2 linked regions of the Macaca mulatta genome follow. The protein of the gene in region 1 interacts with the protein of each later gene in a biochemical or structural test. Links are inferred from orthologs where the notes say so. Each region holds a gene or a part of one and is shown on either strand. Other genes may lie near its edges.

The links. The genes of interacting proteins can lie anywhere in the genome.
Region 2: the proteins of GTF2I (region 1) and USF1 form a complex in vitro, tested with the Homo sapiens proteins (2 studies listed by BioGRID). The link is inferred for Macaca mulatta from reciprocal best matches to the Homo sapiens genes GTF2I and USF1.

The regions. Positions count from the first base shown.
Region 1 is NC_133408.1:52,146,793-52,154,577, reverse strand, and holds the start of GTF2I (general transcription factor II-I), read right to left. Parts: upstream 4,894-7,785; 5' UTR 4,464-4,893; coding exon 3,983-4,463; intron 1,893-3,982; exon of another isoform or gene 1,836-1,892; intron 1-1,835. UniProt on the Homo sapiens protein: Interacts with the basal transcription machinery by coordinating the formation of a multiprotein complex at the C-FOS promoter, and linking specific signal responsive activator complexes.
Region 2 is NC_133406.1:105,834,993-105,842,612, reverse strand, and holds the start of USF1 (upstream stimulatory factor 1), read right to left. Parts: upstream 5,041-7,620; 5' UTR 4,999-5,040; coding exon 4,858-4,998; intron 4,043-4,857; exon of another isoform or gene 3,969-4,042; intron 2,446-3,968; coding exon 2,324-2,445; intron 1,939-2,323; coding exon 1,889-1,938; intron 1,727-1,888; coding exon 1,611-1,726; intron 1,273-1,610; coding exon 1,171-1,272; intron 1,002-1,170; coding exon 806-1,001; intron 567-805; coding exon 479-566; intron 1-478. Other genes in the region: ARHGAP30 (rho GTPase-activating protein 30), read right to left, coding at 6,750-7,620.

The DNA.
Region 1 (7,785 bases):
GCTTAGAGCTTCGTTGACTGCTTTGAAATAGCACGTGATTGGCGCGGTGGCTCATGCCTGTAATCCCAGCACTTTGGGAGGCTGAAGTGGGTGGATCCCGAGGTCAGGAGTTTGAGACCAGCCTGGCCAACATGGTGAAACCCCATCACTACTAAAAATACAAAAAAAATCAGCCAGGCATGGTGGCATGTGCCTGTAATCCCAACTACTCGGGAGGCTGAGGCAGTAGAATCGCTTGAACTCAGGAGGCAGAGGCTGCAGTGAGCTAAGATCACGCCATTGCACTCCAGTCTGGGCAAAAGAGCGAGGCTCCATCTCAAAATGGTAAAACCTGTCTCTACTAAAAATACAAAAAATTAGCTGGGCATGGTGGTGCACGCCTGTAATCCCAGCTACTCAGGAGGCTGAGGTTGCAGTGAGCCGAGATGGCCCCACTGCACTCCGGCCTAGGAGACAGAGTGAGACTCCGTCTCAAAAAAAAAAAAGGGGCCGGGCGCGGTGGCTCAAGCCTGTAATCCCAGCACTTTGGGAGGCCGAGGCGGGCGGATCACGAGGTCAGGAGATCGAGACCATCCTGGCTAACACAGTGAAACCCCGTCTCTACTAAAAATACAAAAAAAAAATTAGCCGGGCGTGGTGGCGGGCACCTGTAGTCCCAGCTACTCGGGAGGCTGAGGCAGGAGAATGGCGGGAACCCGGGGGGCGGAGCTTGCAGTGAGCTGAGATCGCGCCACTGCACTCCAGCCTGGGCGACAGAGCGAGACTCCGTCTCAAAAACAAAAAAAAAAAAAAAAAAGGAAAGAAAAGAAAAAAGAAATAGCATGTTGCCAGGCGTGGTGGCTCACACCTGTAATCCCAGCACTTTGGGAGGCTGAGGCGGGCGGATCACGAGGTCAGGAGATCGAGACCATCCTGGCTAACATGGTGAAACCCCATCTCTACTAAAAATATAAAAAATTAGCCAGGCGTGGTGGCGGGCGCCTGCAGTCCCAGCTACTCAGGAGGCTGAGGCAGGAGAATGGCATGAACCCAGGAGGCGGAGCTTGCAGTGGGCCAAGATCACGCCACTGTACTCCAGCCTGGGTGACAGAGCGAGACTCTGTCTCAAAAACAAAAAAAAAGAAAAAAGAAAAAGAAATAGCATGTGATCATGGGACCCTGGAAAGGAACCCCTGAAAGCCCATGGTGACTGAATGATGGTTATGCCACTTTGTTGAGATCTCTGTTATTGGGATCATACACTCTTTTTAAAGATGCTCTTTTGAATCCAAACTGAATAATCTTTTGGTGACTCTGTTATATCATTGTTTTTTGGTAGAGATGGAGTCTTGCTGTGTTGACCGGGCTGGTTCCAAACTCCTGGCTTCAAGCAATCCTCCTGCCTCAGCCTTCCAAAGTGCTATGATTACAGGCATGAGCACTTGTACCCACCCTCTCTCATACATTCTATTTTATTTATTTATTTATTTATTTATTATTATTATTTTTGACAGAGTCTTACTCTGCCGCACAGGCTGGAGTGAGGTGGCACAAGCTCCGCTCACCACAACCTCCACCTCCCAGGTTCAAGCGGTTCTCCTGCCTCAGGCCCTCGAGTAGCTGGGATTATAGGTGCATACCACCACACCTGGTTAATTTTTGGATTTTTAGTAGAAACGGGGTTTCACCATGTTGGTCATATTGGCCAGGCTGGTCTCAAACTCCTAACCCCAGGTGATCCATCCACCTCGGACTCCCAAAGTGCTGCCACTGCATTTCAGCCACTGTGCCCAGCCCTCAGTCATATATTTCAGATTGCCCAAAACCATAATTCTGGTGAAAGTTCAGATACTCTGTTTTTCTGTTTTCTGCTTTTTGTTTTGAGACAGGATCTCTCACTCCAGTTGTCCAGGCTGGCGTAGAGTGGCGAGATCTCGGTTCACTGCAGCCTCAAACTCCCAGGCTCAAACAGTCCTCCCACTTCAGCCTCCCAAATGGCTGGGACTACAGGTGCACACCACCACACTCAGCTAATTTTTTGTATTTTTAGTAGAGACAGGGTTTCACCGTGTTGCCCAGGCTGGTCTTGGACTCCTGGGCTCAAGAGATCCGCCTACCTCAGCCTCCCAAAGTGCTGGGATTACAGGTGTGAGCCACCAGGCCTGGCCCAGATACTCTTGACAGATCTGTATTCCACAGCAGAGCATGACTTTTGATGAATACCAGAGGTCTTTTTCGTTGAACTCTGATTGATACAGGCCCAATATCTTCTAAGTCCAATTTCTTGGTTTTTCTTTACAATGTACATAGTACACTATACATTCTTTATATTGAGAACAGAATGTAAAATATCATTTGTAAGATAATACTTTGATCCTGTAGACATTGTTCCAATTTATGATTTGCACAATCCTGCCCGGATCACTTCAGTAGGGTCACAAGACCTCTTTGGCTGTCACATGTGTATCTACACTCTAGCAGATAACTCCTTTGTTCTTACAATGATACTTTTTTTTTTGAGACTGAGTCTCACTCTGTTGCCCAGGCTGGAGTGCAATGGCGCAATCTTGGCTCCCGGGTTCAAGTGATTCTCCTGTCTCAGTCTTCCGAGTAGCTAGGATTATAGGCGTGTGCCACCAGACTCAGCTAATTTTTGTATTTTTAGTAGAGACAGGGTTTCACCATGTTGGTCAAGCTGGTCTTGAACTCCTGACCTCATAATCTGCCCGCCTCGGCCTCCCAAAGTGCTGGGATTACAGGCATGAGCCAGCATATCCAACCACAATGATATTTTTTAATACTGATTATAAAACACTGTTTTTGAACGGTTTTTTGTTTGAATAATTTGAATCCTGAATGAATGACTATCTTTTCCAGTATGTATGGTTCTTAGAATTCATCCAAAGGTGGAAAAAAAAAAACCTAAATCCAAGTTATAATTTATTCATAACAATTAATAATGTAGATGTGATCTAAATAGACCTTCCAGCTCTAGCTCTGCCTTTTGTGTGAGCATCTGGCCGACACAGTAAAACGAATATTCATGTTGCACCAGTTGAAATAAACAGTTTTCTTTGTTGGGGTAGCAGGATTTAGATGAATTTTATCTGCTATTTAGGATTATGTTAACATTGTCGTTTTTTAAAGTTTTTAAATTTAAGTTTTTAAATATAAAGCTCTAAATTTAAGTTGTTAAAAATAAAACCTCTATAGTATTTTCTCTGCCTCCTTCAGGGATTTGGGGAAATCAGATGATACGTAGATGAAAATACTTTATGAACTTGGGTACGTGTTATATAAATATTAGATGGTATTATTTAGCATTCAAAACTTTTTAAAAATATGAAAAAAGTCCATGTTCCATGTTTCTTTTCTTTTCTTTTCTTTTCTTTTTTTTTTTGAGACAGAGTTTCGCTCTTGTTGCCCAGGCTGGAGTGCAATGGCGCGATCTCGGCTTACTGCAACCTTTGCCTCCTGGGTTCAAGCAATTCTCCTGCCTCAGCCTCCCGAGTAGCTGGGATTACAGCCATGCGCCACCATGCCTGGCTAATTTTGTATTTTTAGTAGAGACGGGGTTTCTCCATGTTGGTCAGGCTGATCTCGAACTCCCAACCTCAGGTGATCCGCCCGCCTCAGTGGGAGAAGGATGAGGAGCAGAAAAAAAATAACTATTGGATAGGCTTAGTACGCGGGTGGCAAAATAATCTGTACAACAAACCCCGGTGACACGAGTTTACCTGTATAATAAACCTGCATATGTACCCATGAACCTACAATAAAAATTTAAAAAGAGAGAGAGAGAGTGAATACAGTAGTCCCCTGTTTCTGTGGGGGACACATTCCGAGACTGCCAGTGGATGCCTGAAACCTTGGATAATACCAAATCCAACTAGGCACAGGAAGAAGTTAACAGCAATGATAACAAAATGGAACAAGTATAGCAAGTACTGAGGTGAATGTGATCTCTCTCTCTCTCTCTCAAAATAACTTGTACTGTACTCACCCTTCTTCTTCTTCTTGTAATGATGTGAGAATCTATGCCTGAATCTGTGTAACCATCCCTTACTCGCAGTAAATGGCTTGGTGTCAGTTTCAGAGCATCCCTTGCTGAAGTCTTGGTATAGGCTCAAGGCTTTCTGGCACAACACGTTGCTGTCAATGGGAACACGTTTTCTGTTCATCTCTTCCACCCACAAATGCAGTGCCTGTTCCATCTTAACTAAGCACTTATCACGCACCGTGGCCGTCACTTTAGCAGTTGGAGGTGAGACAGCAAAACTAGCACGAATTTCTTTTTCCTTCTTCACAATTTCACGGATGGAAGATTCATTCTTCCCGTAGATCTTAGCAACCTCAGCATAGGATTTTTTTTCTTTCCTGATTAAGTCGAGAACTTTCACCTTTTCACTTAGAGGGAGCACTTTACGGCTTCTCTTTGGCCTGTCCAAATTCCCAGCATCACTACTCTTGTGCTTTGGGGCCATTATGATAGAAAATAAGGGTGACTTGGCCGGGCGTGGTGGCTCACGCCTGTAATCCCAGCACTTTGGGAGGCCGAGACGGGCGGATCACGAGGTCAGGAGATCGAGACCATCCTGGCTAACACGGTGAAACCCCGTCTCTACTGAAAAATACAAAAAACTAGCCGGGCGAGGTGGCGGGCGCCTATAGTCCCAGCTACTCGGGAGGCTGAGGCAGGAGAATGGCGTGAACCCGGGAGGCGGAGCTTGCAGTGAGCTGAGATCCGGCCACCGCACTCCAGCCTGGGTGACAGAGCGAGACTCCGTCTCAAAAAAAAAAAAAAGAAAAGGGTGACTTGAACACAAACACTGCAATACTTGCAGACAGTCGATCTGATAACCCAGACGGCTCCCAAGTGACTAACGGGTGGGAGGCGTCTACCGTAGTTCCCCCTCTTATCTGCAGTTTCGCTTTCTGCAGTTTCAGTTACCCACGGTCAACCGCGGTCCAAAAATAGCTATGTTCAGTACAAGAAGATATTTTTGAGAGAGAGACGGAGACAGACCATAGTCACATAACTTTTATTACAGTATATTGTTATAGATGTTAGAACAATTCCATATGACTATATCTATAGATATATATAATAGAGACAACCTATAGCCTTGCAACATAATCATAAAATCAAGAGATGAAAAATCTAGGTTAAATGCTGACAACAAATACCTGCATCCTTCCTTTTCTCTTTTTGTTTCCACCGTGGACTTAACCACCAGTTTCTTGATTCTTTAGCATTGCGTTTACCAAGCCTTTCCTCTTTTTCTGGTGAATCATAGCAGCCTTTTTTAACCCCTTCAAGACCTGGTGTTTAGTATACTTAAGGTAGATGACCCACTTGGGGAAGTTTTCATCAAAGAATAAAGGGAATTTTTGAACAATGGGTTGGAAGGGGGAGGGAAAGCCAATCAGAACGATGCTGTTCAAAGTGAAATTAACCCACCATCTGGCTGGGCGCGGTGGTTCGCACCTGTAATCCCAGCGCTTTGGGAGGCCAAGGCGGCTGGATCATCTGAGGTCAGGAGTTCAAGACCAGCCTGGCCAACATGGTGAAACCCCGTCTTTACTAGAAATACAATAATTAGCCGGGCATGGTGGCAGGTGCCTGTAATCCCAGTTACTTGGGAGGCTGAGGCAGGAGAATCGCCTAAACCCGGGAGGTGGAGGTTGCAGTGAGCTGAGATCATGCCACTGCACTCCAGCCTGGGCAACAGAGTGAAACTGTCTGAAAAAAAGAAAAGAGAAAAAGAAATTAACCCATTATCAGTGTAACAAGTACTTTTCATTGTTTTCCCAGCAGTGAGAAGGTGTTAATTATCCATTCCCTTCCCCCTAAACCTAGGGAGGGGGCTGACCAAGCTCTGGCTTGTACCTGGGGCTGTAGGCTGACTTCATTCATACCAGCCTGCTGTGTTTTCCAATCCCAGATGAACTCAGTCTGACCCGGATAATGGAAGGAAGTGAGGGGCACCAATGAGTATCAGGAAAGAATCTGAACACCTACTATATTCTGGAAAGCCTGCAAGACCATCTGTGCCCTCCAGAAATGTGTGATCATGGCTCACATGTATTGAGCAGTCCTTCAGAGCCACGCACCAGGCTCGACACTTAATAGATTATCTCATTGCTTGCTGCCTCTGTGGCAAGTGCACCGAATGCCCCTCCACTCCCATGCTAAAGAGGCTCAGAAAGGCTCAGTACTCAGCCTGGGATACACAGATGGCACAATCAGATTTTGGTCTAAACCTGCTCGGATCCAAAGCCTGAATTCTTAACTACTGTTGTCCATTCACCAGTAATAACCATCTGATTCAAGCAGATATGACAAATGAATCAAATACAATATGCACTCAGGTAAATGTGTCAAGATGGCACAAGAAAGCTACACACAAAGCAGACAATTTTTCATGGAGAAAGTAGCATTTGCAGCTGGGCACAGTGGCTCACGCCTGTAATCCCAGCGCTTTGGGAGGACGAGATGGGCGGATCATAAGGTCAGCAGATCAAGACCATCCTGGCTAACATGGTGAAACCCTGTCTCTACTAAAAATACAAAAAATCAGCCAGGTATGGTGGCGGGCACCTGTATTCCCAGCTACTCAGGAGGCTGAGGCAGGAGAACGGCGTGTAACCGTGAGGCGGAGCTTGCAGTGAGCCGAGATAGTGCCACTGCACTCCAACCTGGGCAATAGAGCAAGAGTCCATCTCAAAAAAAAAAGAAAAGAAAAGAAAGAAAGAAAGAAAAAGAAGAAAGAAAGAAGGTAGCATTTACAATGAAAAGTAAAGGATGGGTGAATTGTTTATTTATTTATGTACATGTGTATTTATTTATTTATTTATTTTGAGACGAAGTCTCACTCTGTTGCCCAAGCTGGAGTGCAATGGCATGATCTCGGCTCACTGCAACATCCACCTCCCAGGATGAAGCAATTCTCCTGCCTCAGCCCCCTATCGAGTAGCGGGGACTACAGGTGTGCACCACCACACCTGGCTAATTTTTTTTTTTTTTTTTTTTTTTTTTTTTTTTTTTTTTTGAGACGGAGTCTCGCTCTGTCGCCCAGGCTGGAGTGCAGTGGCCAGATCTCAGCTCACTGCAAGCTCCGCCTCCCGGGTTCCCGCCATTCTCCTGCCTCAGCCTCCCGAGTAGCTGGGACCACAGGCGCCGCCACCTCGCCCGGCTAATTTTTTGTGTTTTTAGTAGAGACGGGGTTTCGCCGTGTTAGCCAGGATGGTCTCGATCTCCTGACCTTGTGATCCGCCCGTCTCGGCCTCCCAAAGTGCTGGGATTACAGGCTTGAGCCACCGCGCCCGGCCTAATTTTTTTTTTTTTAAAGACGGAGTCTCGCTCTTATTGCCCAGGCTGGAGTATAGTGGCGCAGTCTCAGCTCACCACAACCTCCACCTCTTAGGTTCAAGTGGTTCTCCTGCCTCAGCCTCCCGAGTAGCTGGGATTACAGGCATGTGCCAACACGCCTGGCTAATTTTGTATTATTAGTACAGACAGGGTTTCTCCATGTTGGTCAGGCTGGTCTCGAACTCCTGACCTCAGGTGATCCTCCTGCCTCAGCCTCTCAAAGTGCTGGGATTACAGGCATGAGCCACCGTGCCCATCCTAGGATGAATGAATTTTTAAAAAACAAAATAAGATGAATATTATTTTAATTTTTCTATTTTTTGTTTTGTTTTGTTTTGTTTTTTTGGAGACAGTGTCTGGCTCTGTCACCCAGGCTAGAGTGCAGGGGTATAGTCACTGCTCACTGTAGCCTCTACCTCTTGGTCTCAAGTGAT
Region 2 (7,620 bases), on another chromosome or scaffold:
GGATGACGAGGTCAGGAGATTGAGACCATTCTGGCTAACATGGTGAAACCCCGTCTCTATTAAAAAATACACACACAAAAAAAAACCTAGCCGGGTGAGTTGGCGGGCGCCTGTAATCCCAGCTACGCGGGAGGCTGAGGCAGGATAATGGCGTAAACCCGGGAGGCGAAGCTTGCAGTGAGCTGAGATCCGGCCACTGCACTCCAGCCCGGGCGACAGAGCGAGACTCCGTCTCAAAAAAAAAAACCAAAAACAGATACAAAAATTAGCCAGGGGTGGTGGTACACATCTGTAGTTCCAGCTACTTGGGAAGCTGAGGCATGAGAAACACTTGAACCCTGGAGGCAGATGTTGTGTGAGCTGAGATCACGCCACTGCACTCCAGCCTGGGTGACAGAGCAAGACTCTGTCTCAGAAAAAAACAAAAAAAACAAAAAAAAACACTTATGAAATTTGAGAAGAAACAAGTGTCACTCACGGGGAATAAGGGTGAGTCCTAGGGGCAATTGAGCGCTGGCTTCCTCCCTGCAGTACTTCTTGTGGTGACATCATCACAAAGAATTGACCTGTGAAGATGCAGGGTAGGTTCTGTCAGGACATGGGTAGGAACCTCACCAAGCCCTGAGGTGAAGACCCTGGGCCCCTCCTCTAAAAAGAACATGTTAATAGAAGAGCAGCCCCGGACTCACTGCCTGCCCAGATCTTAATGATCACTAAGAGTCATGAGTGAAGGCTCACTGCCTACCAGTCATGTCTCACAGCCTATTCTAGCCCTTTCAGCCAGCATCCTCATGCAGTATCTCACCAGTGCCAGGAGGGGTCGCCTGCCCCAGCAGTGCCTCTGAGCCCTGGGTAGTAACAACAGCAGCTGTACTCCCCGATGTGGTACCCCCTGCCCCATCTCCCACTGCCGTGCTGGGGAAGTAAGTATAGTGCGTCTCAGCAGCTGTCCCCTCCGTGTCAACTGCATCATCACTGGTGAAAGCACCCTGGATCACCGCCTGAGAGAGAGAGAGAGAGAGAGAAACATCCAGGAAAGGAGAGCCTAGTGCTTTGGGACAAGGCAGCCCTAGACGCCTCACTGTTCCTAGCTTCACCCCCATCCTACTAATACCCTTCTTCATCTTACTTCTCAGAACTCTAGTCACCTCCCCAGCCCATACCCTGTACCTGGGTCATGGATTGAGTGGCAGGGTAGCCACTGATGGCACCAGTTCCCTCAGTTTGGCCATCCAGCTGCCCCTCAGACACCTGGATCACCCTGTACATCACCTAGAAGTGTAGAGGAAGGCAGAGCAAGGGAAAGAGAGAATAAAAGATTAAGTGTTGGGAATCCTAGGGCCCCTCATAAAGCTTCCCTTGGATAGGGCCCCAAAACAAAGTCCTTCAGAGACACGGATTGAGCCATTCTCCCTTCTCTCCCCACACAGAGGTTTCAGCATACACCTAACCTCACACCAGTCTCTACTCCAGTATCAGCACCCCCCTCCCCTGAAACAGTCCACTCTTTCAACTCATCCTCCAAGCCAGGTCTCCCCAAGACATGTTCAATTACCTCCCTCAATCCCAATCCCAAATAACACCTGCAGCCACCTGGCCCCCTCCCTTACCTGGCCCCCATTCTCAGTTCGGAAGACGTACTTGACGTTGGGGTCAGGGAAGGTGGCAGCTGACTGGATGCTGGCAATAGCCACACTGGTTGGGTCTTCCCCAGTAGCCACTGCACCTGAATTAAAAGAACAAAAGAAAAGTCTGTGAGTTAACTGCCTTTCTATCCCCGTTCCACGTGCATGTCACTGAAGGAGGAGGATGCACAGGAGATGGTCTGGTGGGGGAGGAAGGGAGGCCATGATGGGTTCTTAGTCTTGGTTCCGTCTCTAGCACTCACCTTCCTGAATCTGCACTGTCCCCTCTTCCGTTTCAGCTGTTTTCTGCTGCCTGTTTGTGGTGAAAGGACAAAAGGAAGAGTATGGGAAGAAGTCAATGAGAAGCTCACCGGCCCAGTAACATATGGCTGCAAACTCATTGGCATTCCCAACAGAAGCTGAGTTAGGTTAGAATAACAACTAGTGTTTGCTGTTTACTATGTACATAAGCACTAAGCTAAGTACATCACATGTACTCTTATTTAATATTAAAAACAACACCATGAGATAGATAGCACTACTTCCATTTTATAGATGAAGAAACCAAATCACACAGTAAGTGATAGAGTAGAACCTGAATCCAGGTCTGCCTGACTCCAGAGGCAGTGCTCTTGGCCATTTTGCATTCTTCCAGGCCACCCATCTTTCATCCCAGACCCTACCCCTTCTTCACTCACCCCTTCATCTCTCTGTGAGGGGGCACATCCGAGGAACTGGTCCTTTTTTGGAAGTCTTTGTATCTCCTATTCACAGGCCTGAGTGCTAAGTCCTGGTAGAAATCATGAAGTTTGCAGTGAGTCTAGGAAACAGAACAGTATCTCCGGTTCTAGAACTTAGGTTCCATGAACACACAGCCAGGAAAATAACCCAGTCATCTGCAGGGGACAATCAGCCTCCACCATACTGATGTTGAGGACTGGCCTACAGTGATTGAAAAAGCAACTCTACAAATAGTGTTCCTTGTCCCTCCATTATCACTCCAACTCCTGGTAGAGAGGGGATAATTATACTGGAAGACAGAAACAACGCTTTTTTTCGAGACAGAGTCTCGCTCTGTCACCCAGGCTGGAGTGTAGTGGCGCGATCTCAGCTCACTGCAACCTCTGTCTCCCGGGTTCAAGTGATTCTCCTGCCTCAGCCTCTCAAGTAGCTGGGATTACAGGTGCACACCACCACGCCTGGCTAATATTTGTATTTTTAGTAGAGACGGGGTTTCTACTAAACCATGTTGGCCCGGCTGGTCTCGAACTCCTGACCTCGTGATCTATCCGCCTCGGCCTCCCAAAGTGCTGGGATTACAGGTGTGAGCCACCGCACCTGGCTGAAACAACACATTTTTTTTTTTTTTTTTTTTTGAGACAGTCTTGCTCTGTTGCCCAGGCTGGAGTGCAGTGGCACAATCTCAGCTTACAACCTCCGTCTCCTGGGTTCAAGCAATTCTCCTGCCTCAGCCTCCTGAATAACTGGGATTATACGCGCCCACCACCATGCCCGGCTAATTTTTGTATTTTTCAGTAGAGATGGGGTTTCACCATGTTGGCCAGGTTGGTCTGGAACTCCTGACTTCAGGTGATCCACCTGCCTCAGCCTCCCAAAGTGCTGGGATTACAGGCATGAGCCACCGCACCCAGCCAACAACACATTTCTAAATGGATCACTATTAAAGCTATTATGACCTGCCATGATGGCAGCCTCATGGGAATCAGGAAGGGCCATGTATTGGCCCCACCATCAAAAAATACCGTGTCATGGACACCGATACTTCTTCCAGTTTCTCAGCCACATATTGTCCACCAAGACATTTCTGTTCTCAAACCTAGGAAGAGGAAATCTCAAGCCCACTACCACTGGAAGAATGTCCCTGACCACAAAGACTAGACTTGGCCTTTGGGCCCCATTCTACTGACAGGATTCTTGTTTTGGGGTATTCCGATTTATATAATCTGTTAGAAACCCTAAAGCCCAAGTGGATCCTCTTCAAGCACCCTCTATTTTATTCATCAAGCCTTCCTGTAGAACAACACAGTTGCTAAAATGTTGCTATGACAACTCCAAATCAACTGAGCCTCAGCAAGAAGGGGTAAAAAAAAAAAAAAAAAAAAAAAAACAAAAACAGGGTTCTAAAGAAGAGACAAAGGGGGAAGAATCCACCTACAAGCTCTGCCTTAGGACCCTGACACCCAGCCAGAGGGCAGGAAAAACAAAGAGCTGGGCAGACATGCCTCCAGAAAGAAACAGCTACACAGTACAAAGCAGTAAGATAATCCCAACACAAAAGGGGCAAGATTTTTAGAAATTCTCTACCCATAAGGTCCTCCAGACCTTTCCTATCCAAGGAAAATTTTCAGTGGATAAGCCTTGGAAAGACCGCGTCCGAGGAAAATGTTGAAAAAGGAACTGAAAGTGAAACCGTCCAGAGGAAGTAACGCTGCAAGGAGATCCCAGTCGATAAGGGGAAGTAACACTAGTGTTTTGGGACCACCTACATTTCCATCTTCAAACCTGAAGAGGAAATGCCCTGCGAAGCTTGCCGCGCTGACTGCAGGGGAAGGCAATGAAATAGAGGGCCCGGCACAGGAGGCATCTCTATTGGCCACAGCTGTCAGCCGGGGCAGTCTCTGAGGACACCCAGCAACGGGGTCAGGGTACTTATTCAAATCTTAGTTGGACATCCGGAAGCATTTCCTAGGCATTAGGGATCTGTGACACGGAAACTGGAATGGGACGTTGTGGTGGGCACGCTCAGGCCAGAAGGGCCCAGTAAGAGCCCTTGCTAAGTCTGGACACAAAGGGAAAAAAATCTACTCCCGAAAGAAGTCAGGCGCCTAGACCTTGCCTGAGAATGAGGCGTCTCCCTGCAGGCTCTCCAACCAGAAGGCGCTTAAGGAGCTGAGCGCCCGCCAGGCGCGAGCCCGGGAGCCTGCGCCGTGACCCGCAGCCCCGCAGTCTAGCCCCGCGCCCCAGCTGCTCCGCAGAGGAGGCAGGAAAGGACATCGGGGACTAGGGGGCTCAGGCGCCCGGTGCCGGCGGCTGCGGCCCGCAGCTGGACAGCGCAGGAGGGCTGGGACGCTCGCGCTCGGGGGCAGGGAGTTTGGCCCACAAAGCAGGGTAGAAGATAAAGAACCAGCACAACACCCCCCCCCCCAGCCCAAAACAAAGGCTTCCTCCCCAGCAGTGTTCTCTAACCAGAAAAAAGGAAACAAAATCAAACCTGCCCTGCCTTGCCAGTCCACCCAGTTTCCAGACTTCTGCCCGGTCCTACACTCACCGGCCAAGGCCGTCTCAGCCGCCGATTTTCTCCAACTGTGTTCTCCCTCTCCCGACCTAGGTAGCTCCATAGACAGCTGCTCATGCGCACTTGCAGCCCGCAGCCATGTTGGTGAGGGGCGGAAGTGTCGCTCTCGGCCCGCCCACAAACTCAAACTCAGAGCCGCCCCACTTCCGCTCACTCCATCTTGATGAGAGCTGATGTTTGTGGGTTTTCTGTGAAGTCGGGAAGAAGCAGTGTCCTGGAGTATGTAGCTGAAGCCCTGGCCACTTTAGACAAGAACGGGAAAGAGACGACTAACTTGTACTGACATCTTAGCGCTGGCAGGGCATTTTTTCATTCCAGGAAAAAAGAGAGAGAATCCAGCTGAGATGAAGGGAGGGACGTCTGACGGAGGCGCCATCTTTAACAAGGGCTATTTGGGAGGCCATCTTGGCTCAGGGCGTCTTTTTGAAAGATTACCTACCTGCTAGAGATTACGACCTATCAGGGCATGCATAGAACTGGGTATGTTCCTTGTTATTCTCGTCGGCAGTCACTAACCCGAAGACCCCAAAGCTTCTAGTTTTCTAAAGGCTCACACTTTCTGTGACAGGAATCTTGATTCCTGTTCTTCTCAATCAAGACCTACCCTGAATGGATTTGGAGTAGTGTGGTATAATGGGAAGAATTCAAACTTGGGGACGAGGCAGATCCAGGTTTCAAACCCATCTCTGCCACTTCTTACCTCTGAGACCTTTGGCAAACATTTTGACTTAATTGAGCCTTAGTTTCCTCATCTATAAACTGGAGATACTAGCACCAACCTTCCAGACTTATGTGGATTAAATAAAATCAAGGACACAGATTTTATGAGCACAGGATACTTAGTCCAGTTCCTGGCACATAATGAGCATTATGTAAATATAAGTTTCTCTTCCTTATTTCGTGACCACCATGAACCTAGCTCTAGTTTCTAGCCACTAGTCTCCATGACAACAACTGAGGAAGAGCACCCAAACAACAAGAAGAAAAAGAATGTTTTGCCAAATATATGAAGATATAATAGCTATCACCAAAGACTTTAATAAGAGTAATGAGACTCCACACTACGTGTAAAAATACAGCTTTTATTCTGAGACATTGACCTTCACTAGAGTGGGACCTATGGCCCCAACCTGGCTGGAGAAGCAGTCCCAGGGCCTGAGTGACACCATTTCCCTTTCCTGAAATAGGAAGAAGTTATTCTAAAGGAAAAACGAGAGCCCAGAGACATCTGTACAGGATCTCTCTTGCACATGGTGACTGGAGGCAGAGGGTGGGCAGCTGGAGAGGAGTCCAGTCCCTCCAACAAATACTGAGGGTTTCAAAGAGCTTCCTGAACGTTTCTCTTAATCTGGATCTAAAAAGGACAGGAGGTATCTAAGGGTCCAAGAGCAGAACAGGAATGGGCAACTCTAGAAGTGTTTGTGTATGGAAGGCCCTAACCTGGCCCTGTCCCCCGTCTCTACCTTTGGCTTTCATGAAGAGAGATTCATAGCTCAGAGGAAGGGAGGAACTTCTCCAGTCTTCACTTTAAGAAACTCTTTTAACTTTTCTGCCTACCTTATGTTCCCTTTGGCCAGTAACCCACTCCCTGGGAACAAGATCTTGTTGACTTTCTTGGGAATCTCCTAAGAGATAAGTGCTTTCTGTCTGAGACACGGCAGTGCCTCCCACAGTCAGAGAAGCTGGAGGGCCAAAGCCTATAGAGTTGGGCACTACAGCTGCCTAGACTGCAGAAGAGACAGCTAGTCAGGAACCCTGGAGATTCAAGACAACTTACTGGTCCCCTTTGCCCAGGGCTGTGGTCCTAATCACAGTCCCTCACCTTTCTCAGGGTTAGCCTGTGTTTCAAATGCATACGATCGGCGCTGAGGGGACAACAGGGTGTCAGGAACCTGGGGTTCTCTGGGGGGCAGACTAAGACGACTCCGGGATCCAGACCCTTCCGTGCCTTCAGGTGGGATCTCCAGGCAGCTAAGGGGCCGAGGAGAATGGGCAGAGATCATGCTACAAGGGGAGTTTCTGGGGATGAGGCAGTAATCCCCACCCTCAGTACAGGTCTGGGTTCGCCGAACTCCCTGAGCCTCAGTCCTTTGGCGGTCCCGGGCTAGGGCCACAGCAGCATCAAAAGAAAGACTACCCCCATTCCTCCAAGAGGATCGAGAAGCTCGGGCCCCCCAAGCCCTTTCTCCAGGAGTCGCATCAAGCCGGCCAGGCCTCGGGCTTGGATTTGCAGGTGCCACATGAATCTTGCTACACATTGCACTGGGCATCTTGGCAAACTGTGGCTTGGGGGGCACCACAGGCACAGAGCGGACCTGTTGGACCTGAACCAGAGTAGAAGCTAGACGCATGCCCACGCCACCCAAGCCAAGGGAACAGGGACATAGACAGCCATCTGAACTGGGCTGCCCCTCAGACTCCTTCTCCTCTGACTGGGGTGGCTGTGGGGCTGCCTCTTCCATCTCAGAAGAGTGAGGATTGCCCTCTTTGGCACAGTCAACCTCCAGGGACTCTACACCTGAGCCTTCAGAGAGGGTACCCTCTTCTAAATAGTCCCCTCCAGCCCTCTGGTCTCCCTCAGCCTCTCCATCCCCACTCTCCCGTTCCTTGCTGACCTCCCCTGCTCCTCCTTCAGTTGCTGCTTCTGGGCTTCTGCTGTCTTCACCATCTCCTTGGTCT